Mus musculus: one gene and its partners. Each later gene encodes a partner of the first gene's protein in a complex. Links are inferred from orthologs where the notes say so. Each region holds a gene or a part of one and is shown in the gene's direction. Other genes may lie near its edges.

Evidence for each region. Proteins that work in one complex are often made in the same cells at the same time.
Region 2: the proteins of Pak1 (region 1) and Arhgef7 are in contact, whole or in part, in an NMR structure (PDB 1ZSG), measured with the Homo sapiens proteins. The link is inferred for Mus musculus from reciprocal best matches to the Homo sapiens genes PAK1 and ARHGEF7. Residues at the interface, in NP_001363202.1 of Homo sapiens: Thr185, Pro186, Pro188, Val189, Ile190, Ala191, Pro192, Arg193, Lys198, Arg203, Ser204; in NP_001106983.1 of Homo sapiens: Lys192, Phe193, Phe195, Thr198, Asp201, Glu202, Glu217, Gly220, Trp221, Trp232, Pro234, Ser235, Asn236, Tyr237.
Region 3: Pak1 (region 1) and Dab2ip share a complex: the UniProt entries of both Homo sapiens proteins name them as parts of the cytoplasmic complex. The link is inferred for Mus musculus from reciprocal best matches to the Homo sapiens genes PAK1 and DAB2IP.
Region 4: Pak1 (region 1) and Map3k5 share a complex: the UniProt entries of both Homo sapiens proteins name them as parts of the cytoplasmic complex. The link is inferred for Mus musculus from reciprocal best matches to the Homo sapiens genes PAK1 and MAP3K5.

Annotation. Positions count from the first base shown.
Region 1 is NC_000073.6:97,903,885-97,911,439, forward strand, and holds part of Pak1 (serine/threonine-protein kinase PAK 1), read left to right. Parts: intron 1-753; coding exon 754-950; intron 951-3,923; coding exon 3,924-4,061; intron 4,062-7,211; coding exon 7,212-7,298; 3' UTR 7,299-7,555. UniProt on the Homo sapiens protein: Protein kinase involved in intracellular signaling pathways downstream of integrins and receptor-type kinases that plays an important role in cytoskeleton dynamics, in cell adhesion, migration, proliferation, apoptosis, mitosis, and in vesicle-mediated transport processes.
Region 2 is NC_000074.6:11,816,373-11,823,927, forward strand, and holds part of Arhgef7 (rho guanine nucleotide exchange factor 7), read left to right. Parts: intron 1-1,287; coding exon 1,288-1,512; intron 1,513-3,265; coding exon 3,266-3,359; intron 3,360-5,587; coding exon 5,588-5,677; intron 5,678-7,555. UniProt on the Homo sapiens protein: Acts as a RAC1 guanine nucleotide exchange factor (GEF) and can induce membrane ruffling. Functions in cell migration, attachment and cell spreading. Promotes targeting of RAC1 to focal adhesions. May function as a positive regulator of apoptosis.
Region 3 is NC_000068.7:35,724,296-35,731,850, forward strand, and holds the end of Dab2ip (disabled homolog 2-interacting protein), read left to right. Parts: intron 1-3,130; coding exon 3,131-3,218; intron 3,219-3,762; coding exon 3,763-3,930; 3' UTR 3,931-4,815; coding exon of another isoform or gene 4,816-4,825; 3' UTR 4,826-6,128; coding exon of another isoform or gene 6,129-6,291; 3' UTR 6,292-6,699; downstream 6,700-7,555. UniProt on the Homo sapiens protein: Functions as a scaffold protein implicated in the regulation of a large spectrum of both general and specialized signaling pathways.
Region 4 is NC_000076.6:20,096,341-20,103,895, forward strand, and holds part of Map3k5 (mitogen-activated protein kinase kinase kinase 5), read left to right. Parts: intron 1-3,164; coding exon 3,165-3,292; intron 3,293-3,720; coding exon 3,721-3,857; intron 3,858-7,555. UniProt on the Homo sapiens protein: Serine/threonine kinase which acts as an essential component of the MAP kinase signal transduction pathway. Plays an important role in the cascades of cellular responses evoked by changes in the environment.

The DNA of each region.
Region 1 (7,555 bases):
ATTGTGTCTTACAGTGTCTTTTCACTATTTTTTCAATTCTTTTACACATTATAACACTTCCCTCCTGAAGGCCTACTTCTGAGGTTCTCTGATAGGCGCTGAGGGTACATTTTACCAGCTTTCAAGAAGCTTTCTGTCTAGTATGAGAGACTTGTAATGAATTAGAAAAACGGATTTATGTAACTTTACTTATTCTGTTATTTATTCAGCAAATGTTTTACATGCCAGTCTCTTCTGGGGTACAGAGAAGATAGTCTTCACTATCGGCTCTATCAATTTAGATAAATGTGTAGCTTCAATATAGTGTGAATGAACTACAGGTAGTTTTTTGTACAAAGGAGTGAAAGCAGTTGCCGAGACAGAGGCTATGCCATAAGTGGGTAAACAGTTTATGAGAGGACTATTGGTGCAGGGTGAGGACTTGTTAAAAGTAGGGCCATACTTACGTGTTGGTGGTTGGGTTTTAATTCTGAGACTTTTGTCCAGAGGATAATGGAATGAGTTAATTATAAGACTCTGAGTTATAGGAATGTTTTTTAACCATTTGGTTTGAGGAAAAGGCAGGAGGCTAGAGATATTGTTCTTAATATTTCTCCTACTGTTCATGGTTGAATGAGCAGTGGACTAGTAGCAGTGAGGTGTGTCCTGCTTTGGTGAGACAGAGATTGCAGACAAAGCCTGCTGCCCATGTGTAAGGACACAGCACTTACTGATGGAGTATCCTAAGTGTGTCTTTCTTCTCCCCCTTTCTAGCTGACTTTGGATTCTGTGCACAGATAACTCCAGAGCAGAGCAAAAGGAGCACCATGGTGGGAACTCCATATTGGATGGCACCTGAAGTTGTGACACGCAAGGCCTATGGACCCAAGGTTGACATCTGGTCCCTGGGCATTATGGCAATTGAAATGATTGAGGGGGAGCCCCCATACCTCAATGAAAACCCTTTGAGAGTAAGTGTTCTCATCTTCTTGCAAAGTATTTGGGCAACTGACTCTAATCCTAGGAAATTGTACTCAGGCTCTTCTCTCTGTATACCCGGGCATAGTTATACATTCTTGTACTCCTAGACTTACAAGACTGGGATAAGAAGATTGCCAGTTTTTGAGACAAACTTGTCTCAAAAGCAAAAATATGGACCTGGTAAGATGACTCAGTGAGTTAAGGCTCTTCCTGCCAAGCCTGATGACTTGAGTTTAATCCAGGGACATACATGGTGAAAAGAGAACCAATTATCACAACCTGCCCTTTGATTCCCATATGAGATATATGGTACACATGTGCCCACACTAAATACATGTGTATACACTAAATAAATAAGTATATATAACATGCATTCAACAGATACTGTTGAATTTAAAATATAAATGAGCCGGGTGTGGTGGCGCATGCCTTTAATCCCAGCACTTGGGAGGCAGAGGCAGGCGGATTTCTGAGTTCGAGGCCAGCCTGGTCTACAAAGTGAGTTCCAGGACAGCCAAGGCTATACAGAGAAACCCTGTCTCGAAAAACCAAACCAAAAAAAAAAAAAAAATTGTTCTGATAATACCAAGTGATTCTAGAGTAGCAGATGGTAACTGCTATGGAGAAAAAAAATGTAGAATAAGAGCAATTGACAGAGTGATAGGGAAGGCTTTATTTAGAGGAACGTTTTCTTTTATTAGTTATTTCAGCAGAAACATGAAGGAGTTAAAGGAGTAAGCCATGAGATTTAGTTTCATGCAAGTGTTTACAGGTATCAAGAATCCCATTTGGTTTTTGCCTGGAAAAATCATCGGAGGCTATTATTTCCCAAAAAGGAGAGAGGAGAAAGTAGACTGGTAGCCAGAGTCAGCAATAAGAAAGGGCCAGCCACTAAGTCTTGTGGGCCAGTGTGAGAACTTGGCTTTTATTTTGCATCATTAGAAAGGATTTTCAGCTAGATAATAAGAGGATCCAGTCTGTACTTGAAATGAATGAATGGTTAGGCTGCTTCTTTAGGAAATAGACAATGAGAGACTAACAGGATAGTTCAGACAAGAGTGGTTGCTTGGGTCAGAATACAGGTGAGAAGTAGACTTGGGAAGAGCTGCCAGGATGCCCTGAATAGTAAAGAAGTGGAATCAGCAGTCACCACGGCACGCAGTGCTGACAAGTTCAGTTGTCCTTTGTTACTTCTCTGTTTGGTCTGCTGTGATGAAAGTACTGGGACCGAGGCAAGTTACAGGAGAAAGGAATGTATGCTTATGTTTCCAAGGGGATAAGAGTTCATGATAATAAGGAAGTGGCAAGTATGTTAGCAGGAACTGGATGCTGAGAGCTTCTATCTTGAAATACATGTGAGCCAGAGAACAAACTGGAAGTAGGGCAAACAAAACCGAGAGCTCTGAAACTCTGCCTCCAGCAAGGCCTTCATGGCCAGTTAGTAGATTGATGGGAACACATGCCTAACTTGAGTAAAACCCATAAGAGCAGAAAAGGAGAAAACTGAGATGGCATTTACAAGTGTTTTCTCCTCTTACATGAGTTTTGTTACGAAGGGTGACAGGGAAATGGAGCAGTCTCTCTCTTTCTTTGTTTTTGTTTTTGTGTTTTGTTTTTCTTCAAAACAGGGTTTCTGTATAGCCCTGGCTGTCCTGGAGCTCTCTCTGTAGACCAGGCTGGCCTCGAACTCAGAAATCCGTCTGCCTCTGCCTCCCAAGTGCTGGGATTAAAGACGTGCACCACCACTGCCCAGCAGTCTCTTGTAGAGTTGAAAAGGGTCAGCTAAAGGCTGTGTGTTAGCTAGTGGAAGGGAATTGGTGGTAATGGGAGAAGAAATAGAGTATACAATAAAGATGCAAGGAAGGCGGTGACTTCGATTGTGGACAAATAGGAATAGGAAGTTACTTTGTTTTTACTTTCTCACTTAGTTCATCTTCCTATCTAGTGCAGGAATTCCCCTGTAAGAATATCTACGCTTAACTACATGCTCAGATCACCCTTGGATAGTTCCAGTTGCTGGAAAGTGCTTCATTGTCTCAAAAGGAAACTTTCTTCTCTAGTTTCGACTTTATTGTCCCAGCTTTGCTCTCTCACTCCACATGTAACACAACCTCCTCTGCCTCAGATATGAAGGTAATCAGTGTGGTGTGGTGGAAATAAAACTGAATTAGAGTCAGCACGTGCACTCAGAACAGTGAATGCAACGGCTGGAGAGCCTTACATGTGAAATGGGAATAACCATTTTGCCCCACCTCTGAGTTACTGTGGTCACTTAAAATGAGTGTAGCTGGGTGTGGTAGTGCACACCTTTAATCCCAGCACTAGAAGTCAGAGGCAGGCAAATCTCCTATGTTCAAGGCCAGCGAGGGCTATACAGAGAAACCCTGTCCTGAAAAACAAAGCAAACAAACAAGAGTGAGAGATGGGGAGAGAGAGCGAGAGCGAGCTTTGTAATTAAAGAGCTTAGTGTTTATGAAGGTTTACTATTACTGTTTTTCTTCTCCCAAGAGCTGCTTCATATTAGAGCAGGGAAGCAGCAGCGAAACCGTTGCTGTCTCGCCAAGCATGGCTTTTTCCTCTTGGGTGGAAGCCTCAGCAGCACATTTCTGCCAACAACTAAACAAAGGGACGTTTACCTTGCCGTGCTAAGTGAAGAATAAACCCTTAGGTTTGTAACACCTCATACGTTTACAAAGTGCTTTCCAAATGCACGCTAAAGACATTTTTGTGGCTATATAAAGCATTATATAGCAAAGAAGTTATATGTTAGGTGCATATATACAGTCATATGACTGTGAATGTCAAGCCTGATTAGGTTAGTATGTTCTCTTCAGGACATCCCCGCTGATCAGAGCTGTGTGTCAGAGCACACAGAAGCTGGCTGTATTTTAGAGAACGTGTCTCGATAGTAACAGAAAGAACCTCAGGGAGAGCACCACGTGACTCTTCATTTGTATTGCTAGGCCTTGTACCTCATTGCTACCAATGGGACGCCAGAGCTTCAGAACCCAGAGAAGTTGTCAGCTATTTTCCGGGACTTCCTGAACCGCTGTCTTGAGATGGATGTGGAGAAGAGAGGCTCAGCTAAAGAGCTGCTGCAGGTAACTGTCCTTCTGCAGGGAGGTGCCTACCCAAACCTTTTCATCTCATTTTTGTCTGCGTTTGCTGATTTTAGGCTTCTTTCCTACCATTTCACTTTGTATTTCTAGCTCCCTGTCACTCTTGGGCTTTGCCAAGTCTGCCCTCTGTTCCTCACCCTATATCCCCCTCCCCCAAGTCCCTGGTCTCCAAGAGGATGTCCCCGTCCCCACCCCACCAGACCTCCCCACTCACTGGGGCCTCAAATCTCTTGAGGGTTAGGTGCATCTTCTCTGACTGAGTCTAGACCCTGCAGTCCTCTGCTGTATATGTGTCTGGGGCCTCATATCACCTGCTGTATGCTTCCTGGTTGGTGGCTCAGTGTGTGAGAGCTCTCTGTGGGTCCAGGTTAATAGATACTGCTGGTCTTCCTATTGGGGGTCGCCCTTCTCAGCTTCTTTCAGTTATTTCCTAATTCAACCACAAGGGTTCTCAGCTTCTGTCCATTGATTGGGCATAAATATCCGAATCTGACTCAGCTGCTTGGTGTGCCTCTTGGAGGGCAGTCATGATAGGCTTCTGTTTGTAAGCACACCATAGCATCAGTAATACTGTAATCAGGCCTTGGAGCCTCCTCTTGAGCTGGATCCCAAATTGGGCCTGTCGCTGGACCTCCTTTCCCTCAGGCTCTTCTCCATTTTTGTCCCTGCTGTTCTTTCAGACAGGAACAATTCTGGGTCAGAATTTTTGACTGTGGGATAGCAACACCATCCCTCCACTTGATGTCCTGTCTTTCTACTGGGAGTAGATTCTACTAGTTCCCTCTTCCCACTGTAGGGCATTTCATCTGAAGTTCCATCCTTTGAGTCCTAAGAGTCTCTCTCACCTCCCAGGTCTCTGGTGCATTCTAGAGGGTACCCCCCACCTCCTACCTCCTGGGATTGCCTGTTTACATTCTTTCTGCTGGCCCTCAGGGCTTTAGTCCTGTCTCCCCCCACCCCCAATACCCGATCATGTTTCCCCTTTTCCCTCCTTGTCCCTTTTTCCACCCAGGTTCCTCCCCTCCCTCTGTGTCGCCCCACCCCCACCCCCTGTGATTGCTTTCTTCTTCTCCCAAGTAGGATTGAGGCATCCTCACTTGGGCCCTTCCCCTTGTTAACCTCCTTGAGTTCGGTGGATTGTATCCTGGTATTCTGTACTTTTTTGGCAAATATCCACTTATTAGTGAGTACATACCATGCATGTCCTTTTGGGTCTGAGTTACTTCACTCAGGATGATATTTTCTCATTCTGTCCATTTGCCTGCAAAACTCATGATGTCCTTCTTAATACTTAATTGCTGAGTAGTATTCCATTGTGAAAATGAACCACATTTTCTGTGTCTCTTCTTCCATTGTGGATCATCTGGGTTGTTTCCAGCTTCTGGCTATCACAAATAAGGCCACTATGAACATGTGCTCCTGTGGCATGGTGGGACATCTTTTGGGTATATGACCAAGAGTGGTATAACTGGGTCTTCAAGTAGATCTATTTCCAATTTTCTGAGGAACCTCCTGATTGATTTCCAGAGTAGTTGTACCAGTTATCCCACCAGCAATGGAGGAGTGTTCCTCTTTCTCAACATCCTCGCCAACATGTGCTGTTATCTGAGTTTTTTATCTTAGCCATTCTGATTGGTGTAAGGTGGAATCTCAGGGTTGTTTTGATTTGCATTTCCCTAATCACTAAGGATTTTGAACATTTCTTTAAGTGTTTCTCGGCCATTCGAGATTCCTCTGTTGTGAATTCTCTGTTTAGCTCTATACCCCATTTTTTGATTGGGTTGTTTGGTTTTTTGGAGATAGCTTCTTGAGTTCTTTATATATTTTGGATATTAGCCCTCTATTGGATGTGGGGTTAATGAAGATTTTTCCCAATCTCCTTAACTTGTCAGTGTTATCTGGTAAACGTTCAAATCCTAGACTTTTCAGAAACTTTAATCATGAAGTTTCATATCTGCTTCTCCTGTGAGAACATATGGATAGAAAGATATAGGAAGAGATATTGGAATTCATATATTTAAGCTTTATCCATGATCATCCATAGTTCTCAGTTCCTCTGTGTATCCTCACTCTGTCCCAATGAAACTTGAATCAACTTTCAGCAAAGAGTGTCTCTGTATATATCTCCATGTGAGTGTCTGTACACATACATAATAATGCTAACTATAGGAATTATAAGAATGATAAAAGAATGAGATGTGTTAAGTAATTACAAACCTCACATTTGCTCAGACAAGGAAATTTAGCTCTGATCTTTATTATCAAATGGAAGAAAGAATCTATATCTTCAAGATAAATGTAAAAAACAAAAATCAAACCCCCAAAACAATCCACCAGTTTAAGTAAGAGACTCTGAGTTACATAAAAAATTATTTCCTATAACATTTTCATATGATATTTTTCTCTTAAATAATTTTTTAAATTGGAAGTATGGCTCAAAGTACATTACAATGTAACATTGTAAAGGACCTTAAAGTCCTTACTGGAATACTTCGCCTTGCTGGAGTCAAAGAGTGAACAAAAGATTCTTAGCCACATATGGTGCATGCTTATAGTTCCAGCTAACAGGTCGAGGGCTGGAGTTTAAGACGAAAGATAGGTGTCTTCTCCAGAAAGAATAGTTACTCTGTTGTTGCCAGAGGTGAATTTTACCCAGGAACAAACAAAACCATGTAAAATGAACTTCTTGTCTTACTTCTTTCACTCAAAATGTCTGTGGATCCATTGTGCTTTCAGTGTGTTAGTTACTGTGCTAATATTCTATATAATGGCATATGACTATGGAACTATTAATTTTTTGAGCTTTTTTTTTTCTTACAGTTAATGACTTACAAATAAAACTTGTATACTTGGTCAATGAGATAACTTACTGGGTATGAGCACCTGCTGCCAAGTCTGACAACTTGAGGACAATTTTCCTGTACCTGTAGTCGTGAAAAGAATTCCTTCTTGCAAATGGACCTACACACACATGCACATCATGGCATGGATGCACCCCCCCCACACACACACAAAAGGATAAATAAACAAGTCAATTCAAGGATGATCTGTCACTGAGGCCCTTACTGTCTGGTAATAGCTGCTATGTAAGAATGGCAAACACTCAACTCATTTGGTTTTTTCTTCTTCTAGCATCAGTTCCTGAAGATTGCCAAGCCCCTCTCTAGCCTGACTCCACTGATTGCTGCAGCAAAAGAGGCAACCAAGAACAATCACTGAAACCACGCTCATCCCAGCCTCATGTGCCAAGCCTTCTATGAAATAAACACTTGTTTCAGGAACTCCGACCCCTCATGTCCTCTTCTCCTTTCCTTGCTTCTCCCATTTCCTGATCTAGTGCTCCCAAGACTTTGATCCTTGGAAACTGTCTAGCACTGAAGAGAATTGCAACTGGACGAGTAATCCAGCAGAGGCCATTTCTAAATAGGAATTCCCTTCCAGTTTGTGGGCATGGAGGGAACTGATGAGCAAGGGTT
Region 2 (7,555 bases), on another chromosome or scaffold:
GTGGGGCTAAGTTTATCCCAGGGACATAGGCTGCCTGGGTGAATATGTGCAGAACAGCCTGAAGCAAGGCTGCCCACACCTGTACGGTGACTGCTGTATGTGTGGGCTGCCATCTCTGTTTAGTGGACGCCAGAAGATCCCGTGGCAGAGGCAGCTGTGTAGTCAGTCCTGCTGTGGAGAAGGCGATGCCCCTCATGCTAGTGTGAGAAGGCCTGCTGTTCCAGGAATTCCTTGGCGGCATACCTAAGCTTTCTGCCTGGGACCCAGTTCTGTCTGGCATCAGTTAATCTCTCATTTTAGTCACAGGCATAGCTCTTCTTTTTCAAGGAAGGAGGAACAAGCCAGTGTTTAATTATTACCTGATTATTGCCACAAGGGACATGGGACACAGCTTTCTAATGTGTAGGTTCCTTGATTTGAGAAAATGTATTCTATAGTGTTATGGTGTTTTTGTAATATACCATGAGCCAGCAACTAGTGGGCAGCCTGGAGCGTTGGGCTCTGGTTTCAGCTCTGTGGTGCCGACTGTCACAGTCAGTGTTCAGTTCCCAGGCTACGCAGCGGCCTTCTGTAATTGTGCTGAAATTGCATTGGCTACAGGAAGTCCAGGAGCTCACGTGAATGTTGCTTATTTTATCAACATTTTCATTTCATTGTCAGTGTGGTTGATTTGGGGGTTTTCTATGAATAGAAACTTTATTAATAACATCCCCCACTGAAGAATCAGATCTCAAATTGCTCTGCTTTTATTAAAACAAGTTGAGATTTTTAAGATAAACATATCTTGATTTCAGATATTAACATCTTCCTGTAAAGGCCAAATGGTTTGTAGTCCTGAGTTCACATAGCTCTGGCAACTGGGTTTGCCTAAGCAGGAGGACCCATAGATGGGATAGGCCTGGCTGCAGCACCTGGAGGAAAGTTCTTCCTCCTCCTCCCCCACCCCCAAGGGACAGTTCTTGCTCTCATTCTTGTGTTAACAGGTGACAGTGTATGTCCAGGGAGCATGCCCCCACTCAGTTACTATATTCTAGTCGGGGCCTACCTGGTAGCTTTTTAAGTCTGTTTTGTTTTGTTTTTTCTTTTGGTGAAATTGTGATACATGTACTAGCTTCTCATACAGTACTACATAGCAGCTGATACCTGTACAGAGTGTGGGTCTCTCAGCCCCATGTCTGCCCAGGAGCACACGCTGGGCTCCTGTCCCTGGAGCCGTGTGGTTAGGGCCTTCTGTCTCAGTGGCCTTGCCCATCTCATGCTCTCTGCTCTTGCTTTTGTGCCTGGCAGCTTCCTTCCCATCCTCTCACTCCATCCAGCAAACACGCGGACAGCAAGCCCGTGGCACTGACGCCTGCGTACCACACACTCCCCCACCCCTCTCACCATGGCACCCCACACACCACCATCAGCTGGGGACCCCTGGAGCCTCCGAAGACCCCCAAGCCTTGGAGCCTGAGTTGCCTGCGGCCTGCACCTCCCCTCCGGCCCTCAGCTGCTCTCTGCTACAAGGAGGTGAGGTCCTGCAGCCACTCAGACAGCCACTGCAGTGAGCATGCCTTGACATCTCTATGTGAGGTCTGCACTTAGCTACAGCAGTCCTTCCGGTGACTTCAGAAGTGAAAGTCTTGTGTTTCTGTTCATGGTGTGAAGACATGCCCCACCTCATGGCATCTTCAGAACCAAGAAGAGGGTCTGCCCTTACTCCATGTCATCCCCTTCTGCTACAAGGGCCAGGTGTCACCTTTAAACAAACTGGAGTGAGCATGCACCCCTCCAGTCCTCTGTGCACTGTGCCCACACTTGAAGGAGTGGTGCCCAGGAGGCACCGAGCCTGAGGTGCTCCTGAGCGAACGTGCAGGCCGAGGGCCTCACCTGACTGCATGCCATTCTGCTGTGCCTAAGATCTGTCCCAGAGTCCTGAAGCCTTTGGAAGTAAAGAGCAGGTTCCCTAGTGAAAGCGGTTGGTCCCTGAAGGCAGTGCCTCCTTGCACTGAGGGGAGGTGCAGCAGCCTTCCTCAGTGCTCCTGTTCTCCCTGCATGTGAGTGCAGCCACCATGCACTTGATCTTCACTAAGTCTCATGCGCTCACCTAACCCTGCTTTCACCTGAGGAGGCTCAGCACTGCTGAGTGTGACAAGCCAGGTTTGCAGTAGGTGTCAGCCTGACCACGGCGACTCACACTGAGCGAGACACACTGAGAAGAGTGAGAGGGGCAGGCCCCCTGGGTGGATGCTCCTGTGTTTCAGTGGTTTGTCGAGTCCACAGTACAGTGTTGTTGGAACTGATTTCTGCTCAAGATTCTCTGTAGCACATTAAGTTTGACCAGCATGGACCACAGGAGAGAGCTTTCAAACAATGAAGTCTAGCATACGTTGATCATATTCTTTCTCCTGCCCCAACACCTCCAAGATCCTTTCCACCTCCCTACCTACCCATCTTCATCTTCTTTCTCTCTCACACTCTCAAACCAAAAAAGGAAAGTCAGAACAAACAAAAATAAATAAGACAAACAAAACCCAAGCATACATTTAAAAACAAGACAAAATATAGAGTCTGTTTTGTGTTGGCATGGTGGCATATGCCTTTAATTCCACTGTCCCAGATACAAAGACAGGAGGATCTCTAAGAGTTAGCCATGGAAGAGATAGCTATGAAGTCTGCTCTGCCATAGAAGTGCCTCGCTCGCCCCTTTGTAACAGCAGCTGCGGGGAGGGAGGCAGGTGCCTGCGCCTACTGCATCCAGCGTTCTGTGTCATACTCCAGTTTTACCTTAAAGGAAAGAGGCTGAGATGGTGGCTGGCCACCATCCATTTCTACTTTGCTGGGAGCTGGGATATGGGCCTCACAGAGTAGCCAGCAAGTCCCGTCTCTAGGAGTCTGTGCTTAGCCATGGGTTCCCTGCCTGCCCCCTCTGCTTTAACTTTGGGATTTTGTACTTTGCTGTTTCCCTTCCCTCTCTACCCTAGAATGGACAGCCCTGTCCTGACTCTGTGGAGCATGTGAGTCGGTCTGTCCTTCCTTTGCTCGGCACACGCCTTACTGCCATGTACACTGTGGGGTCTGGGTTTGTTAACAAAGGGGTTTTCGTCAGAGCTGAGGCCTGTAGGTGAGGGAAGATGGAACGTCCTCTTGGCTCTTGGCCTGTGTTTATGTTGGCATTGGCAGAGAAACATGGACAAACTGGTGATGGGGGTGAGAGGTGCTTGGTGGTGGCCGGCTGGTGTCATACAGTCTGTTAGTATGTTTATTATCGGTGTTTCCCTAGGATCTCAGTAAGAGCCCCAAGACCATGAAAAAGCTGCTGCCGAAGCGCAAGCCCGAGCGGAAGCCTTCGGACGAGGAGTTCGCTGTGCGCAAGAGTGAGTGCCCATGTGTGGGAGCATGGCACGTCGTGGGCTGCGGGAGTGCAGGGGAAGCAGGGCCCGCACCTCCACAAGCAGCTGGCTGAGTGGAGAGGGCAGTCTCTGCATCGGCTGCTCCTCCAGCCTCACTCCAGCCCACCTCTCCGAGGGGTTGTGGTTTCCTGGTGCCTTTCCTCCACCCAGCAGATCTATAATTTGAATTAGACCCAGATTCCTCTCATTCACACAGGGCTTGTCTGTTAGGAGAAGTGAAGGCTGGGCTTAGGAGTGCCTGGTGGCCCGATTGAATAAGCATTTACCATGTATCTTCCACGTGACTGACACGATGGGTGCTGGGACCCGAATGTTAGTCAGACCTTCAGTCCTGGCAGACATTTCATGCTGTGTTGTGCCCAGCTGTGAGACCAAGTCTGCAGCACTGGTCCTTGGGTGGATCTCCCCGGGAGCCAGGCATCTGTGTAAAAGCATCTCGCTTGTGCCTGGATCACTGGTGCTGTTGCTGAGAAGGGGTGCTGTGCAGCAGCCTGCTCACCTGCTCAGGGTTAGCACTGACAGCAGCAGCACCCCCTCCTGGGCACGGGTGGGCACTTGCTGAGGGGGTCTCAGCTGTCTGATTGGTGCAGGGTGGGCCTGCATTAGGGAGACATAGCCTGGAGGCAGGGTGAGTGGTAGTAGAGCTGTGGTTGTGATGCGAAAGCTGTGTGTGCTCAGCTCACAAGAGAGGCAGTCTAGTATTGCATCCTTACCCAGAAGACCCAGCGGGTTAGGGATGAGAGGATATGGCAGACCAAGGACAAGGGTTGAAGAGAAGGGTTGTGTTGCTGATCCCCACTCAACATGTGAGCCAGACAGATGCTCAGCAAGCCTTACTCACCTCTCAAGCTTCTGGAATGTACTGGTTAGCTTGGAAGGCTAGGACGCTCTGTGTCCATGGGTAGTCCACATCTGCAGCTGTGAGGAGAGCGACTGGCATAGCTGTGGACACAGCGAGCCTGCAGTTTGCTGCTGGCTTCAGTGGCTCTCTGCCCCTGTGTGGAATGCATGTGCTCACCCAGGCGTGAGCAGAGCAGCTGGTGACAGCAGCCAGCCAGCACCCTGAGGGAAGGATCTGCTGCTGCCCAGAGGGAATGAAACCTTTCCTGTAGTCTCCTGCAGCCTCTGAAGAGGCCAGGAGCTGCGGGAGCTGGCCTCATGACTTGTTGCAGGTGGTGAGCTGGGTGCTCTCAGGACTGCCGTCCTCTGTCTTGAAGTAAATACTTGGTTTGCCTTATATACATTTTACTTTCTGAAAATATTGCTGAGAACTGGACATGGTGGTGCATGCCTTTAGTCCTAGCACTCCAGAGAATGAGGCAGACATCTCCGTAAGATAAGAGGCCAGCCTGGCCACATAGCAAGTTCTAGAAATATCAAGGCTACACAGTGTGGCCTTGTGTGAAATAAACAAACCTATAAAAGTTACGGAGGCATAGTTATTTACAGCTGTGAGAGTATCAGCCTTCTGGTCTCCCATGGTTGGAGAGTAGTGAACTTAAAAAAGAAAAGAAAAAATACAGCTAAGTAACTTAGAACCAGAGAGAAAAATATAAAAAAACAAGTAGCTTTCTTCCACATGCCACCCTTTTCTGAGCACGGGCTAAGGGGCTGTGATTGGTCCCACTGCCTGACAGCTCCTTCTGGCCTCTGCCTGGAGATGAAACCTGTACCCAGGTGGCTAGGCTATATTTAAGGCAGAGCTTTGCAGCACTTCTGTTCTTGGCATGGTAAATTTGTTACATTAGTGTCTAAGAATTCTAGGGTCAGAGACAGTGCCCCTTTAAGGCCTGTGATCTGGTGCCTTTCCAGAAGTTTCACGTTATGGCTCTGCAGCTCTCCTACCCACACTGTGTCAAGGCCCAGCCGATGACACTTGGGGTGCTTAGCTCTGAGTCTCACTTCCTGTTCTCATGAGACTTGAGGTCTTTTGGCTACTCCTGTCTCCTGTAGGCCACATATTCCAGTCTTGTGCTGTCTGTCTGGTGTGTGTGAGTGGAGAGACTGAGGGACATAGGACTTTACAGAGCTGTGATGAGAATTTCAAACCTTATACTCTCTTAAGTGTAGCTATTTATAACTATTTAGAGAGCCTAAATGTTAGCTCACAAGAAAGTGACGGGTGGCATCTGAACTGCGCTGTGTAGCTCTGGGCTGTGTGCTGAGTGGTGATGGCTCATGTATTTCAACAGGCACAGCGGCGCTGGAAGAAGACGCTCAGATCCTGAAGGTTATCGAAGCTTATTGCACAAGTGCAAAGACGCGCCAGACCCTGAACTCAAGTGAGTGTCGCAGTTCACCCCGTGTGGGCACAGATTACAAGCAATTGCTGCACGGACTAGCTGCTCTTGAGAGGGAGGTTTCAGGCGCTTAGCAAGTAGTGTAGCAGTGTCCCACAGTACTGTGTTCTAGGGAGCATCCAGTGTGAGGGCCAGCATCCTTCAGGAAACTTGGACTGTGCAGCTGCATGCAGAAGGCAGTGGAAGTTTCTTAAATTTTGCTCCTTTTTTTGGTGTTACTGGGGTTTTTTTTTTTTTTTCTCCTTTTAAAAATTATCTAAAATTCAAATCTAGAGCCATCTTTCTATCACCTTTAAATTTTATTTTGTTTTTAGTATTTGTTAATAAACAATGGTAGTTTCTTTGGTGGACACCAGGTAGTTTCTCTAAACTCCTCACAGGTGAGAGTCTGCATGGTGGTAGCATCCAGGAGCACTGCCTGACTCAGAGGCCTCTGCCTTTGACCTGCAGGCAGGGGCCTGCGGTCCTCCCTCTGTTTGTTTTGGAGCTGGCTGGTTGGCATAGAAACTGGTTGCCGTTGGATCTTCTACCTTGTTCCCTTCTCCACCCCAGTTTTTGGAAAGACACCTCCACATTTTAACAGCACCTTCAGTGTGGCGGCTCAGATCACACCTTGCCAATCGGACAGGAGAAGTGGGAGGGACTTTTCAGCCATTTGAGCTTTGATTGAGGAGCCTGCAGCTTAGCCAGCAGGTTTGGCAGGCGCAGCCCCGGTAGCGTTTACAGGCAGAGAGGGGCCTCCTCTTCCACTTGCAGCTTTGCACTGCCTTCTGCTCATGGTGTCAAGGTCTTGCTGAGGTTCAGTGAGGTCTCTTTTTGTCCTTACCATCTCTAAGGGAAAACCGGTTATAGCTGCTGAGAGGAGTAGGAGAGACGTGGGGAAGGAAGCCTGGGCACCCTAGCAAGCTGTGGGATATATAATTGTGATGCTGAAGAGTGACTCATGAATGTAATTTTGATGATTAAACGTGATGTATTCTGATAGGTTGTAACCATAGCCAGCACTTTCATAGATTTTAGATGTGTGGTTTTAATTAGTCACCTCACTTCAAGTGCTTAAAGGGAAATGAGAGTCCCCAGCTTATAGTCCCAGGTGACCTTGGCTGCTCTGTGAACTCCCGCATGTGACAGTCCATACTTCCCTCTGGGTGAGGAACTGTGCCTGGGGTGAGCTGCGGCTGCCTGAGGAGGGCAGCCTGTGGTTTGTGCAGAGCCTTTGTTGCACTGCTCCGGACTCCATTCCTTCCACGCAGAAAGCATGGTCAGTGTGCCGACTGGTGCACTCAGTTGATGTTCTGTTTCCCAGCCAGCATCCTGGGGCCTCAGCTTACAGCCATACGTGGCTTCCTCTTAGCTCTCTGAGAAATGGGATAGATGCACAGTTTGTGCTGCACAGGTGATACGGTTGGTGAGCGCATTTGGGAACGGGCTCCTAGGGAGCACATTTCCACATTAAATGCCTAGCAGAACGTTTTGAGAATGCTAATATATCGTTACCTCAAGCTTCTCTCTGTTCACTACATGTGTGGATGCTAGCAGGACTTTGCAAGCTAAGCACAGTTGACGTTGCTTTCTGTCTCAAAGAAGGAATGGCCTTCAGACTTGGAGCACAGCCGCTTTGGTTGCCGAGGCTTCCCTGTGGTTTCTCCCCACAGGAGCCCCATACAGCCTTGCATGCCCACCTAGCTGCTGGCCAGCTCACGCTCACATTGCTAACCACGCATGCGGTTCCTTCTGCCCCGTTCCCTTGCCCCTGCTCCTGTCAACTCCCTTTCCACGTGGTGGCATTGCCAGTCTGTACTCACCTTTCTGATAGTAAAGGTTCCACATCAGGGGAAGTGACATAGGAACACACTCTGC
Region 3 (7,555 bases), on another chromosome or scaffold:
TTTTAAACCATTGTTTGATCCATTTCTACTTCTATGATAAAATATCAGCACCAGGTGATTATAAACAAGAGAAATGTACTGTTCACCATTCTGAAGGTTGCCATGTCTAAGATCAGGGTGTCAATAGATTTAGTGTAGCTCTCCTTCATAGATATACCTTGGTGCCATGTCCTTAGAGACGAGCTCCTTCCAGCTCCTTTGGTAAGGGCACTAACCGTGCTCTTGAAGGCAGAAATATCTTGTAACCCATCACTTCCCAGAGGACAACTGGTAGCACCGTAGAGGTTAAGTTTCAGTGTACATGTATTTGAGTGTGGACACCAACTTTCAGACCATAGTACCCATCGTTGTGCACAAAGTTTATTTTACAGGTTCCTATTGTTAGGTCTGTTTATTGTCTAACAACTTCTGCCTTTTAATTGGAGCGTTTAAGCCATTTACTTTTAATGTGATTATTTTAAGCCTGTTAATCTTAAAGCTATTTTCCTGTTTATATGTAGCATTAGCACCTTCCTTCCTTCCTTCCTTCCTTCCTTCCTTCCTTCCTTCCTTCCTTCCTTCCTTTCTTTCTTTCTTTCTTCCTTCCTTCCTTCCTTCTTGCGTTCCTTGGACTGTATCTTAGTCCTCAGCATCTCTGTTGGCTTCCATGCTGTGTGGCCCCAGTGCTTTGGGTGTTAGTCAACAGTCTTCCTCAGTGGGCAGGTGGGAACCGTGCCGGGCTGTGCAGGCCACATGATCTTGCTGCTCCTTTTCACCTGCTCTCACAGCAGAGCTGGGTGATGTCAGGGCTTACAGAGGAGGCGGTGGCTTGATGTGACCCCTCCCTGGCTGCAGTGGCAAGAACATTGCCCTGTCTTTGTTTTTTGTTGTTTTGTTTTTTGTTTTACAGTCTCCTTTTTCTCTCGCTGTTTTTAAGGTACCTCTCCTGGGCTAGAGCTTTGCTCATTGTTGGAATGCTTGCCTGGCGTGCACAGACCCTTGGTTGGATCCATAACATTGAAATTTTTTTAATGTTATCTACTACTGGGGCATATATGTATGTGTGTGTAGGGCTAGGTGTGTAGGCATGTGTAAATAGTCCATAGGACAGCTTCGTGTGTGTGTGTATGGTTGTATAGTTATGTAGGTGTCTGTGGGGGTGTAGGTCAGAGGACAATTTCATGTGTGGGGGTTGTATAGTTATGTAGGTGTCTGGGGGGATGTAGGTCAGAGGAGAGGACAGCTTCGTGTGTGTGTGTGTGTGTGTGTGTGTGTGTGGTTGTATAGTTATGTAGGGGTGGGGGAGAGTGTAGCCATAGGACAGCTTCATGTATGTGTGTGTGCATGTGTGTATGGTTGTATAGTTATGTAGGTGTCTGGGGGGGTGTAGGTCAGAGGACAGTTTCGTGTGTGTGTGTGTGTGTGTGTGTGTGTGTGTGTGTGTGTGTGTGGTTGTATAGTTATGTAGGTGTCTGGGGGGCTGTAGGTCAGAGGACATCATCCAGGAGGCTTCCCTCCACCGTGGGTTCTGGAGATTAATCTCAAGTCTCTAAGCCTCTTCACAGTGTTCCTTTCATTAAATGTTGTCAACAGTCTCACCTGCTGTGGTTCTCTTGGGTTTGCTGGGCTGAGATCTGTAGGTGGATGGCTCTGCTTCCTACTTCTTCCTCTAGGGCTCCCGTTGCCTGCCCTCAGGTACAGTGGGCTCCTCTGTACTGTCTCCCATTTCGCTGTTCCTTCATTGTTTTCTTCTTCCTTCTCTTTCTCCCTTTTATTTTATTTTATATGGATGGGTGATTTGCCTGCATGCAGGTCTGTCTCGGATCTCCTGAGCTGGAGTTAGAGGCGCTTGAGCTGCCATGTGTGTGCCAGGAACTGAACTCAGGTCCTTTGTGAGAACAAAAGGTATTCACAACCATGGTGCTATCTCTTCAGCCCCCACAGTTGTTTTCTTTTTCCATTGTTCTCTGAGTTTTACTTTATATACATTTTTATATTCCTGGGTGAGGATTGAACCCAGGGCCTTGGGCAAGCTAGACAGTTGTCTGTCACTGAGTTACACCCCAACCTTTGTACTTGAGACAGTCTGTTAGTAAATTTTCCAAGCTCTCCCTGAACTTGCCTACAACCCAAAAGGTCTTGAACTTGCTGTCATCCTCCTGCATCAATTTCCCAGATAGCTAGCTAGGGTTACAGGCCTGTGCCTAGGCCTGGTTCACATGTGATCTGAATGGCATACCAACGTTTCTGCGGTGCCGGTGCCTGCAGTCAGCCCTTGCTCCTTCAAGTCTCTAGAGTTTCACTGTGGTTTAAACCTCTTCTACTTTCCTCATGGTTAAGACTGTCTCTTGGGCATGTAGAATGTCCCTTCAGTTGCTGCCTCACAGCGTCACCTACTTCCCATCTGACATCTCAGCTGTTCTCACTGATTTGTCTCCTGGTTGTAGATTTTATTTCCTTATATCTCTGCATCCTTGGCAGCTCTGGTGGGATGCCAGGCACGTTGGAGCTTCACTAGGGTGGGACCTGAAGGCCTCAGACTTGGTCTCATCTGGCCATTCCACAGTGTAGCTGCCTTCCCAGAATTCTTCATGGCCCCCTATGGCCCATTTTCCCCCCACATCTAGCCTGTGGGATGCTCCCAGGTAGAATTTGGAAGAATTAGGATTCCTACAGAGATTTGGGGTGAATTGGTAGGGTCCACCTTTGCCTGGAGCTCCTGTAGGTCCTCCACCTTGTCCTTCCTGAACTCCCTCATCACTTTGATACCAGCACCCCACTACAGCTGCTGTGCAGGCTGTAGTTACAACCTAGTGTGAAGTTCCTGGTGTAGTGAGCCCCTGAACCTTGTGCCTTCACAAAGTCCATACCACCTCAGGAAACATGATAGAAGGGGGTCTAGAGCCTTCTCTAGAGCCTTCACCATATCCTCTGCCACAGATCCTATAACATGACATTCCTTGGGTCTTAGAAGTGCACTGGAATGGAAATAGCCCCAGAGAGCAGAGTTGCAGAGGGAGAGTTGAGGTCAAGACAGGGTAGCCCAGCCATGCCACTGCTTGGGGGACAGTTCTAGATAGGATGGTTTCCCACAGGCCCCACAGTATACTTCCTCCTCCTAGTGCTCCTGACTCTGCATTTCTGTTCACAGGTTGATGTCAGTGGAAGAAGAACTGAAGAAGGATCATGCAGAGATGCAAGCAGCTGTAGATTCCAAACAGAAGATCATCGATGCCCAGGTTGGGGCTCTGGCTACAGTGTTACAGAGTTTGGGGTAGTTCGAGTGTAACTAGCTTCTCTGGTATCCTTGGTTACACCTCAGTGTAAAAACCATGGACCAGGAACCAAGGTCTCTGGGCTCTGAGGATGCTAACCAGGGACTTATGGAAGTGGAGTAGGCAGGACTAGGAAGGTGAAAGAAGGCTAGGCAGAAGGGCTCTGGTCCCCAAGCCCCTTCACTCACAGCTGTGTCCCTTTCTCTGAATGCCCCAAGAATTGGCAGGTTTGGTTAGAGTGTAAGCTACATAGCCTAGGAAGGAGCTCTGGGTGTGTGACAGTGTGAGAGGAAAGGCTCTGCCTTCGAGCTCAGGTGCTATAGCTCCGCTTTAGCTTTGTATAGGTAGGAGGCAAATTATAAGGCCCCAGTCTGTGATAGCACAGAACCTGCCCAGCTACTCCACAGCTTGGGCCTAACACACTTCTCTGGCCTGTCGTGGTGCTCTCTGCTGGCTACTGCTGGCTAGAGCCCACCTCAAGCATCACTAATGCCCTCTTTGCCCACAGGAAAAGCGCATTGCCTCGCTGGATGCTGCCAATGCCCGCCTCATGAGTGCCCTCACACAGCTGAAAGAGAGGTACAGCATGCAAGCCCGTAACGGCGTCTCCCCCACCAACCCCACCAAATTGCAGATTACTGAGAACGGCGAGTTCAGAAACAGCAGCAATTGTTAACCTGCCTGAGGAGAGGGGGACTGTGGTGGCCCGGGACAGGGTCTCCGTCAGGAGACTCCCACAGTTGCAGGCTAGCCTGCAGTGGAGGGGGCGTAAGACTGATGGAGCGTGAGACTGAGGGCACAGTGGCCCCCCTTCTCTTTGCCCACCTGAACAGTGGGTGTGGGTAGAGGCAGCGGAGACTGCACTGGGGAGTGGGGCCAGTCTGCAGGGAGGCCTGCCGAATGTGTCTCTGGTTGTTGAGTTTGGTATGTGGCACCTTCTCTCTGAGCAGCCAGGTGCATGTACCCCTCCTTACCCTTTCCCATGGAGGAAGCTACCTGCAAAGGGCTCAAGGAAGGTTTAGGGGCCACTGCTGTGGGTTTCCCATGGCCCCCAGGACCTGATGGAGTAGTTGACAGGCAGAGTGGCCCCTGTTCATCTCTGCCCTGAGCCCCTGCCACTGCATGCAGCTGGTCAGGGACCCTTCCAGGGGGTGAGGAACTGAAGAACAGAACCTCGGTCCTATGCCCATCCCAGACGTGACACCCTCCACCCTCCTTCCCTTCCTTCCTTGCATTGCCAAACAGACAGCACTGCACTTTCTCTGCTGGGCCCTCATACCCGTGGGAGGAGCCATAGCTTCCCACACTTCACATGCGGGCCTGGCTCATGCTCTTGGAACTCCAGAAGCCAGAGAGCTGGGCAGAGGTGGCCAGGTTGCACCATGCGTTGTAGCTGCCTTCTCCAGGGTCCCAGTGTGGCCTGCACAGTGGCCCTGTGGGGAGAGGCCAGCCAGTGCTCACCCTGCAAAGGTGATCTCTCTTCTCTGATAGTTTAAGAAAGAATTCTAAAGCCTGCCGGCCCTGAGAAGGTGGATAACTGTGATTTTTTTTCCTTTCACAGTATGCATTAGAAACAAAAGCCCGCTTGCTCGCTTGCTGGAACACAGGGGCCTTTTAAATTGAGCGAGCGCACTGCATGGGAAATAGCGGCCCTGGAGGATGTTAGACTTGCTCCCTCTCCAAGACAGCAGCAGCCTGCACCAGGCCCCGTGTGCAGTCGCCTCTCCTCACCCTCCCAGCCCCAGCCAAGGACCCAGGCACTGCAGGCAGGGAGGGGCATCCCCCACAGCTGGGGCTGGTTTTCCCCAGCTCTAGGCTGTTCTGTAGCATATCTGTCCCTCCCCCCCCCCCCTTTGTGGGACAGAGAAGGGCAGGAGCTTGGGTCTTTCTTGGGTCCCCATCTGTTCCCACACTCTAGATTCCAAGCCCTGGTTCTGAGTCACCTAGGGCAGGAGCTAGGCTTTGCCCAGGCAGCAGAATGGGGCTAGGCAAGCTGCACTTAATGCTCCTAGAGTCCTCACTAGAAAGCGTGGACATCCTGAGGTGTGGCCTAGCTAGGCTGCGCCCTGTCCTCAGTCCACGATGGACAGGCAAGGGTAAAAGAACCCAGTTAGGCTGCAGACCAATGCTGGGAGAGGGCGTGGCTATCAAGGGTCAGAGACCTCAGGAAGGAAGGAGGTGGGGCTGAGGGCCTGCCACTGCCTCTTCCTGCCCCACTCCTGTCCACACCCCTGCTCCCATGCATTTCAGCAGGGGTGGCCTCTTGGGCAGGGCCTGGCCTGGCCTGGCCTGGCCTGGGTCTTGCCCTTCCACTGCCCAGGGAGCCCTGTTTTCCTCCTCACCCACACTCTCGCCCATGCCTCGTAAAGTGACCTCTGTCTGAGCGCCTCCTAGCAATATGGGGAGGTCCCCAGGCCTGGACAGGAGAGCGCAGGGCCAGATGCAATGGCCCCCTCTGGTGGGGTTGTTAGCTCTCAGGCCGAGAGCCTTATTTACCTAGTGCAAAAACTGTAAAAGTGTACAGACTCTCCACAGATTTTTATCTTAATTGCAAGTCTGCAATATTTTTTTTGTAAATTTTTTTTTTGTAAATGTTCTTGGTGTTTGACTGTAATGGAACTATTTCACCCAAGGGATGTACATAGTCCTTTAGTCCTGGTGCTGCGAGGGCTGGCCAGGACACTGCTCTCACGGTTGATATTAGAGCCTGGAGAACGGTGCTGGGCAGGACAAAGAGCTTTGCAGTCTAGGTGTCTGTCTGTCTGTTTCCTGCCCGGGGCATTGATTCGTTGGCTTTCAAGCATGCTGTTTGGGTGGAAGGTTGATGGGGGCAAATGCCCCAGTGGGGCCAGTAAAGCATCCTCCTGCCCACAGCAACGGCTTGGGGCGTCTGAGCTCTGCTTACAGCAAGGGCTGGAGTTGCCAGAGGCCCTGCTCTGGGAAGACCCTGGCCACTGACACCCAAGATCTGATGGAGAGAGCGGCCCCACCCTTGCCAACACAGACACCTGACCTTTTTGTTCAACTTGTGTGTTAGGGTGAAGGAAACTGCCAAACTTCCTCTGAGTGAAGACCTCTGACTGCCCAGGAGTAGGGGTGGGGACCAGGGCCAGAGCTCAACGTGTACCCCAGCACCTGCCCGAGGGACACTCCTCCCTCATACTCATAGGTCTGGGAGCCAGACTGTCCAGGGAACCAGCCCCTCTTTTCTATATACTCGGCCACAAGGCTACCCGATCCCCCACTGTGCCCAGCTCCCCCTTTTGTAAGTATGTGAAAAGGAAAAATGCAAAGGTTGGATCGGCCGGAGCCCTTCCCTCCAGTCGAGACTTTTAACCCTGTAATAATGTACAGAGAAGTTGTTGGTGTTCGAAGACTCCGTGTGGCTGTGCAATTTCTGTACATTTGCAATTAGAAATATTAAAGATTTATTTAGCTATTTTAAGCCTGACTTGCCTTTCTTCATCTGTGTCCTGGCTTGTTTTCCTACAGGTAACTGGATCTTGACCTAATACTGTTGTTCTAGTCATGACCCCTACCTGGGTGACCTGGGACTGCCCCTCCTCTCTGTGGAAAGCCCTGTGCTTGGGAGTGGAGCAGCTGACCTCTTAAAGGCCCTCCCGACCTGCACAGGCTGGGAGCCCCAGTGATTCCTGGGAGCTGAGAGCTGCCATGCTTCCTGCTGCAGAGGTTCTAGGTCGACCCTATTAATCTGCAACCTGATGAGAGAAGAGCTGAGCTCTGCTCTGCCCAGGGTTACCAGTGAGGGGAGGCTAAGGCTGGCTGACCCCACGCATCTAGTGCTTGGTTTTTAGGGTCAGGTTTTCCTGAGCTGGAAATGAACTCACTGAGAGCACTTCAGCCGTACCTGCTGGATGAGTGAGTGCCTTGCGTCCCCAGCGGTTTGTCCCGCATCTGTCAGTGTTTGGGATCCTGTCTTCTGATGTGCGATAACCCTGGGTTGAACATGAGCAGTTCAGCCTTACAAGGGCAAGAACACACAGAAGCCCAGAGCAAACTGGCACAAAAACACCTCCAGACCCCTAAAAAATAGAAAAGAAAAAGAAAAAAGCAGTTGGAGGGTTTTTAGGCCTTCTAATAAGCAAGGACCATCAAGCATTCACCCTCGTGAGAACAGATCTGTCTGTCAGATTGCAAATGAGAAATTGCCTACACTTGGCTACACCGAAACATAAAGAAAATGCCTACCCAGAGGCCAGTTTAGGCTACAGTGAGAAATGTATAAAAAACAAGCAGATAACACTACCAGGATTTTTTTTTTTTAAAAGAAACGAGTCTTG
Region 4 (7,555 bases), on another chromosome or scaffold:
GACAGCATTTTCAACAAATGGTGCTGGCACAACTGGCGGTTATCATGTATAAGATTGCGAATTGATCCATTCCTATCTCCTTGTACTAAGGTCAAATCTAAGTGGATTAAGGAACTCCACATAAAACCAGAGACACTGAAACTTATGGAGGAGAAAGTAGGGAAAAGCCTCAAAGATATGGGTACAGGGGAAAAAATCCTGAATAGAACAGCAATGGCTTGTGCTGTAAGATCAAGAATCGATAAATGGGACCTCATAAAATTGCAAAGCTTCTGCAAGGCAAAAGACACTGTCAATAAGACAAAAAGACCACCAACAGATTGGGAAAGGATCTTTACCTATCCCAAATCGGATAGGGGACTAATATCCAATATATATAAAGAACTCAAGAAGGTGGACTTCAGAAAATCAAATAACCCCATTAAAAAATGGGGCTCAGAGCTAAACAAAGAATTCTCACCTGAGCAATACCGAATGGCTGAGAATCACCTGAAAAAATGTTCAGCATCCTTAATCATCAGGGAAATGCAAATCAAAACAACCCTGAGATTCCACCTCACACCAGTCAGAATGGTTAAGTTCAAAAATTCAGGTGACAGCAGATGCTGGCGAGGATGTGGAGAAAGAGGAACACTTCTCCATTGTTGGTGGGATTGCAGGCTTGTACAACCACTCTGGAAATCAGTCTGGTGTTTCCTCAGAAAATTGGACATAGTACTACCGGAGGATCCCGCCATACCTCTCCTGGGCATATACCCAGAAGATGCCCTAACTAGTAAGAAAGAAACATGCTCCACTATGTTCATAGCAGCCTTATTTATAATATCCAGAAGCTGGAAAGAACCCAGATGCCCCTCAACAGAGGAATGGATACAGAAAATGTGGTACATCTACACAATGGAGTACTACTCAGCTATTAAAAAGAACGAATTTATGAAATTCCTAGGCAAATGGATGGACCTGGAGGGCATCATCCTGAGTGAGATAACACAATCACAAAATAACTCAAATGATATGTACTCACTGATAAGTGCATATTAGCCCAGAAACTTAGAATACCCAAGATACAAGGGTCTTATCGGTACTAATGTATATAAGCAGTTCTTGTGTCCACTCATACTGTCTCAAAGTGCTCTTGCTGTCTCTCGCCGATAAAGTATTAAAGGATCACTCTGATGCCTGCCTCCTAATTCCTGTAGCAGTTCTAAAGGCGGAAATAAAAGAAGAATATTATGTCTTAGACATAGGGGAATTTATTTTCTTTTCCCCTTGCCAGACCTCTGAGGAGTATTATATAGCTTATAAAAGTTGATGTCAATTAAGTGAATTTAGATCTTTATTAAGTAAGTGCTCGCACGAGAACTCAGCCTGCACTGCTTCCGGAAAACACCATTATTTAACACTGACTTTACACTTTGTTATTGTCCTTCTAAAAAGCTCCCATCTCTTTAGTTGGATTTGTCATTGGAAGTCTGAACATTCCTTAAGAGTATGTCTGAAGCAAGAGTGAGAGATCATGTTTGTGTATAATATGCCTTAGTGTAATTAGAGCTTTTCATACCTATAGCCTTATTGTGAGAGAGAAAGACATACATAGAGAGAGAGAGAGAGAGAGAGAGAGAAAGAGAGAGAGAGAGAGAGAGAGAGAGAGAAGAGAGAGAAAGTATGTTGGGGGTGTGTGTATGTGAGTGTATGTGTGTGTGTTGAGTGTGTGTGTGTGTGTGTGTGTGTGGACTTGCATTGAATCGTTAGTTATAGTTGCTGATACTCCAGAATATTTAGCTTATTAAATAATGCTTATAGAAGAATGTTGATTTGAACTGCCACTCTAGGTTGCAACAGATCAATCCAAAATGGAATGATTTATGTTCAGGTTTGACATCACGGACACCTAATCTGTTTGTTTATAAGGTCTGACCTTTCCATAAATCAAGATTTATAGCATCCAAAGGAGCCCACCCAGTCTACACCATTGAAATAAGAACATTCTCCCTGCTTTGATACATGCAAAAATAATAACCTGAAGCCAGCCTGTTGCTTTTTGCACTGTGTTGTTGTCTCATTCTTGCTTAAATGACATGAAGCCTGAGCCGTTCTGTCCTGTCCTGTCTCCTGTCTGTTTAGACCAGATCCTGTCATGAATCACCAATGAAAGCCAATTAATCATTAAAAGTTGATTTGTTGAAATTTTATTATTTGACAATCTATGCAATAGATGCATAAGTGCTCACTGATCTTGCTAGTCTTCAGAATATCAGCTTTACAAGGCCTCTTTTTTTTTTTTTTTTTTTAAGGTTTTTCGAGTCAGGGTTTCTCTGTATAGCCCTGGCTGTCCTGGAACTCACTTTGTAGACCAGGCTGGCCTCGAACTCAGAAATCTGCCTGTCTCTGCCTCCCGAGTCCTGGGATTAAAGGCGTGTGCCACCATGCCTGGCTCTACTAGGACTCTTTTAATGAGCAGATACACTGTGCTAGTTCAGAAATATAAAACAGGTTGATACTTTGTTACGGTTGCATACACTAAGCACATGATTGTGAACTCTGGTATACAGCTGGCCTTTCAGTGTAGAGGTTTGTTTAGGATCTGGTGAAAAGTCATAGTGTGATAGACTTTGTCGATTCAGAAGGTGAGCGGTTTGAATGAGCAGAGAGAAAGGAATTGGAACATGAATGGTTTTGTCGTTCTTACTAAAGAGTTGATGAACCATCGGGAAGTTGTGACTGAACATGATTAAGACATTAGGAATATTTGTCCCCTGATGGAGTGGTTACGATGCTGAAGCCAGTGGAGCAGGCTGCCATGCTAAAAAAGTGGTGTGAATAGTATCTAATCTCCTAGGTCAAGACTTAAGTCTGCCACTAGCTTTGTGATCTTTGGTCATTCTTCTATTCATCACTTCTCTTGTCTGTAAAATGGTGTCCCATAACTAGTACGTTTAGTGAAAAGAAATGAGTTGATCTATGCAAGGAGCTTGAACAATATCCAACACTTCCCCTCAGTCCTGCTGCAGCTGCAATGTCATAGAATTTATGAGAAATAAAGGCCTTGGACGGTCATTGGTTTTATTTGTGGGCACAGTTTAGCTGGTGTTTTTAGTGTTGCTTAAGTTAATACTCTAAAGTCTGTCTGATGCTTAGCGTACTGACATTTGCGTGTCTTCCAGATACTCTCAGCCCCTGCATGAAGAAATCGCCCTGCACAAGCATCTGAAACACAAAAACATTGTCCAGTATCTGGGCTCCTTCAGTGAGAACGGCTTCATCAAAATCTTCATGGAGCAAGTCCCAGGAGGTAAGGGGTGCCTGTCTTACCTTCAGAAGTGTGAATTTCTAAGGCCTGAAGAAGAGCTAGATTGAATGGAATTTGTTAGAGTCCAGATCTTGATTTGTCTGTGTTGAGACAATGGTCAGATGGGTGACATGAACTTGACGCTACTCAGCAGGCAGTACAGACATTTTGAAACCGGTCTAGTTTCAGTCACTGTGGCATGGATTGAATGAAGCTAGCAACTGAGTATCCTATTACTGGCTGCCTTCAGAATAGGGATATTTTCATACATGTTCCTATGTTTCATACATGTTCCTATTTGAACCCAGGCAACCAGCAGAGTCTGGCCTACTGTGAAGAGCCAGTGCATTCTGGCTTCATTTAGTGTCACGCTATGTATTTGCTTTAAAGAGCTTGAATGAGTTTTGCTCACTGTTTCTCTTATCTTATAGGAAGCCTCTCTGCTCTCCTTCGTTCAAAATGGGGCCCATTAAAGGACAACGAACAGACGATTGGCTTCTATACGAAGCAGATACTGGAAGGATTAAAATACCTTCACGACAATCAGATAGTCCACCGGGATATAAAGGTAGGGTGCCCCATGCCTCAGCCTCCTGCGGTTCTTTCTGGGTACTACTATATCCGAAAATGTCATGTTGTGTTCTGAGTGTTCATTGTGAGTGGGGAGTAAGGAAATGGGAGCGGGTAACAGAGCTGCCAGTTCTTGTCCCCTGCGCACAGTTATGTTCATGCCATCGTCTTCCGTATGGTATAGCTTCCTTACGCACTGAAGCAGTAGACTTTGCTGCCATTCTGTGGGGTTTTCTAGGAGCTCTGTAGGGTGGACTTTAGTACTCCCATGTTGAACAGGACATGGCCTCTTCCTGAGGATCTGCCATGCCTATTAATCCTTATATAAAGTACTAAAATAAAAACATCGGCTTCTCTTGAAAAACTGAATGTTCAAAAGTAATAAACCTTAGCTTTTTGAAATTAAAATATAATTACATCATTTCCCTCCTATTTCCCCTTCTCTCTCTCTAACCCTTCCTCTACATCCCCTTGCTTTCTTTCAAGTTCATGGCCTCCATTTCTCTAATTGTTGAGATATATATTCCTAAATGTGTAAATACAATCTGCTCAGTCTATAAAGTGTTTCTTGATTTCAGGGCTGACCTCTTGGGATTGGATAACCAATCTGGGGGCTCCTCCCTGGGGAAGAGTTCTATTTCTCCTGCTCTCAGCATTGCTTATTTGCCTGTAGTTCTTTGTCTAGAGTGGATGTCCCATGAGATTTTTGACTTCCATGTTAGTGTGTCTGTTGGTGTCATCTTTGTCTAGGTCTTGTTTAAGCAGCCACGTTGATGAGACTTCCTGGGTGTAGCCTCTCTCACCTTTCTAGGAGAGGAAACCTCACAGCAAACTTTCTGTTACTTTCTGGATCTTACAATCTTTCTGTCTTCTCTTCTGCCATGACTCTCAAGCCTTTGGTGAAGGAGCTGTGTTGTAGGTGTATGGTTGGTCCAGGGTGACAGACAATACTGTCACTTCTCTGCATTTTGATCAATTACAGATTTCTTTATTGGTCTGTCTATTGCAAAGAGAAGTTGCTTTGATGAGAAATGAGAACTATACTTTTCTGTGGTCATAAGCATAAATGTTTTCAGAATGGAGTTAGGGGTCATGGCGCTTTAGTAGAGTGGTAGATAGTGGATCTCCTCCAAGGTTCATGACTTTATAGTCCCTTGCAATTGGCTGGGTTTCTAGTGCTAAGCTTGATTTCCCTCTTGTTGAGTGAACCTTAAGTCCAGTTAAGAACTCTTGGTTACCAGTAAATATGCTTACCACTATGCTCTTAGGGATACTGTGCGGTGCTAGTTTTGGTTCATAGGCATCATAGCTGGGTACTTCCTTTCTTTGGAAGCTTGCATGGCATCTTCTGCTACAACGAAGGCTCGGCCTCATGGAGGAAGCTCTAAAATCAGAGCCAGCTTGGATCCCTCATGTCTGTGTCCAAAGTATATGGTATGTTCAGCAACAGAGACTTCCGTTCAGCCTCTGGGAAGCATCCAAGGCAGTGACAATAGCCAGGTATAGGGAGTCTCTTCGACAACTCTAACCCACAGCTCAAAAGGCTACGTCTCATGCCTGGTGCTGGGGCTTTTGTTACTAGTGTATGGCTTCTGGGGAGAGCATTGTCAGCCCAGATGGGAAATTTCATATATATAGTATGTGTGCATATGTGTATATATGTATAGGCTTGCATGTCTTATATGTAATTCTGATAGATAATAACTGATTCCTTATGACTTTTTCTTACTCTTATTTTACCCTCTTCTCTCCTGCTTTATTAACTTCCCTCCACCTCCCTAATTACCAGGACAGCCAGAGGTACACAGAGAAACCCTGTTGCAAAAAAAAAAAAAAAAAAAAAAAAAAAAAAGTGCCCCTGCTTTTCCCTCTACAAGTCAGTTGCACCCAGATATTTACCTATATTGATTCCCACCATGCTCCATGGTTCCTTTTACCTTCTGGTTTCTGTGGTTAGTCTAGTTTATTTGCTCACATCTGAAGACTTGGAGCTAGGGACCACAGATGAGAAAGAACATGGGGCATTTGTCTTTCTGGGTTTGGGACATCTCACTCAACATGATCTTTTCTAGTTCTGTCCACCTGCCTGAAAAGTTTATGATTTCATTTTTCTTTACAGCTGAGCAGTCCCCCATGATGTATATGGTCCATGATTTCATTATCCGCGAGTCATTTGACAGATATGTAGGTTGTTTCATTTCCCAGCTATTGTGAACAGAGCAGCAGCAGTCATGGCTGATCGGTGGAGTAGATGTCAAGTCCTTTGGGCATACGCCTAAGCGCGATATAGCTGTGTCATGTGGTAGACTTAGCTTTTTGAGGATTCTCCAAAGCAGTTTGCAGTCCCATCAACAGTGAATGGGGGTTCCCTATACCCCTGTAACATTTGTTGTTGATTATTTTATTGATTTTTGCCATTCTGACTGGGGTAAGATGAAATCTGAAAGTTACTTCAATTTGTATTTCCCTAATCACTAGGGACAAGGGATAATTTTTTCGAGCTATTTCTTAGTTATTTTTATTTCTTCTTTGGAGAACTCTGTTCATATCCCAAGCCCATTTACGAATTGGTCCTTTGGTGTTCTTTGACTCTGATTTTTGAGTTCTTTATGTATTCTATATATTAATCCTCTATCAGATGTATAGCTGGCAAAGATTTCTTCCTAACTATGGGCTTCCTCCTGATTTGATTGTTTCTTAGGTGTGAATAAGCTTTTTAGTTTATTAGGTCCCACTTGTTGATTATTGAAGTCCTGCTTAGGAAAATCATTTTCTATCCCTGTATCTTGCAGGGTACTACCTGAGTTTTCTACTATCAAAAAATGATAACGTTTTGACAGACCCTGGCTTTTTTCTTTTCTTTTTTTTTTTTTAAGATTTATTTTATTTATATGAGTACACTGTAGCTGTCTTCAGACACACCAGAAGAGGGTGTCAGATCTCGTTACAGATGGTTGTGAGCCACCATGTGGTAGCTTGGAATTGAACTCAGGACCTCTGGAAGAGCAGTCAGTGCTCTTAACTACTGAGCCATCTCTCCAGCCCAAGCCTGGCTTTCTTAAAGTATGTTCCTTTGGTAAACAAACAAAATGAGTTCACCTTTTGGTGAATACAAAGCCAAAAAGTGCAACCAGGAGATTAAAAGAGAAGGGCATTTCACTATTGAGAGCAAGCAGAGGTTTTGTACTTTGGGGTTTTTTACTTTTTACTAGCCTGAACAGAGAGGATTTTTCTTGTGGAGCCTCTCCGTGCATACCCATATTGATATTGGAAGGTGCGCATGCTCGAGCACATGTGGCTTAAGGTGTCCATCCTGTGATCATGTTAGGGGCAGAGATCACATGGTCAAAGGGATAAAGGGTGAACATAATACTGCCAGAACTGAGAACTTAGAAGGATAATGAGCAGAGATTACTATGGGCTACCTAGAAGAACGGGAGTGATTGTGTGACTCGTTTCTCTTAAATATGTTTTCAAGCGTGTTAGCCGAGACATATGCCAAACTTTGAAGGTCTTTTAAGCAGGCAGCAGTGTTCTGTGTGTATTATAGGTGTTTGTTTCTAATGCACCTGCTCACTACCCTATAACCAACGTAAATGTCCTAGGTAATCCACAGAAAGTAAGGAACACCACAGAGAAGAGTGCCTGGGAAGTGAAGGAAGTTATTTATATAGATACTGTCCACAGGTGACCCAG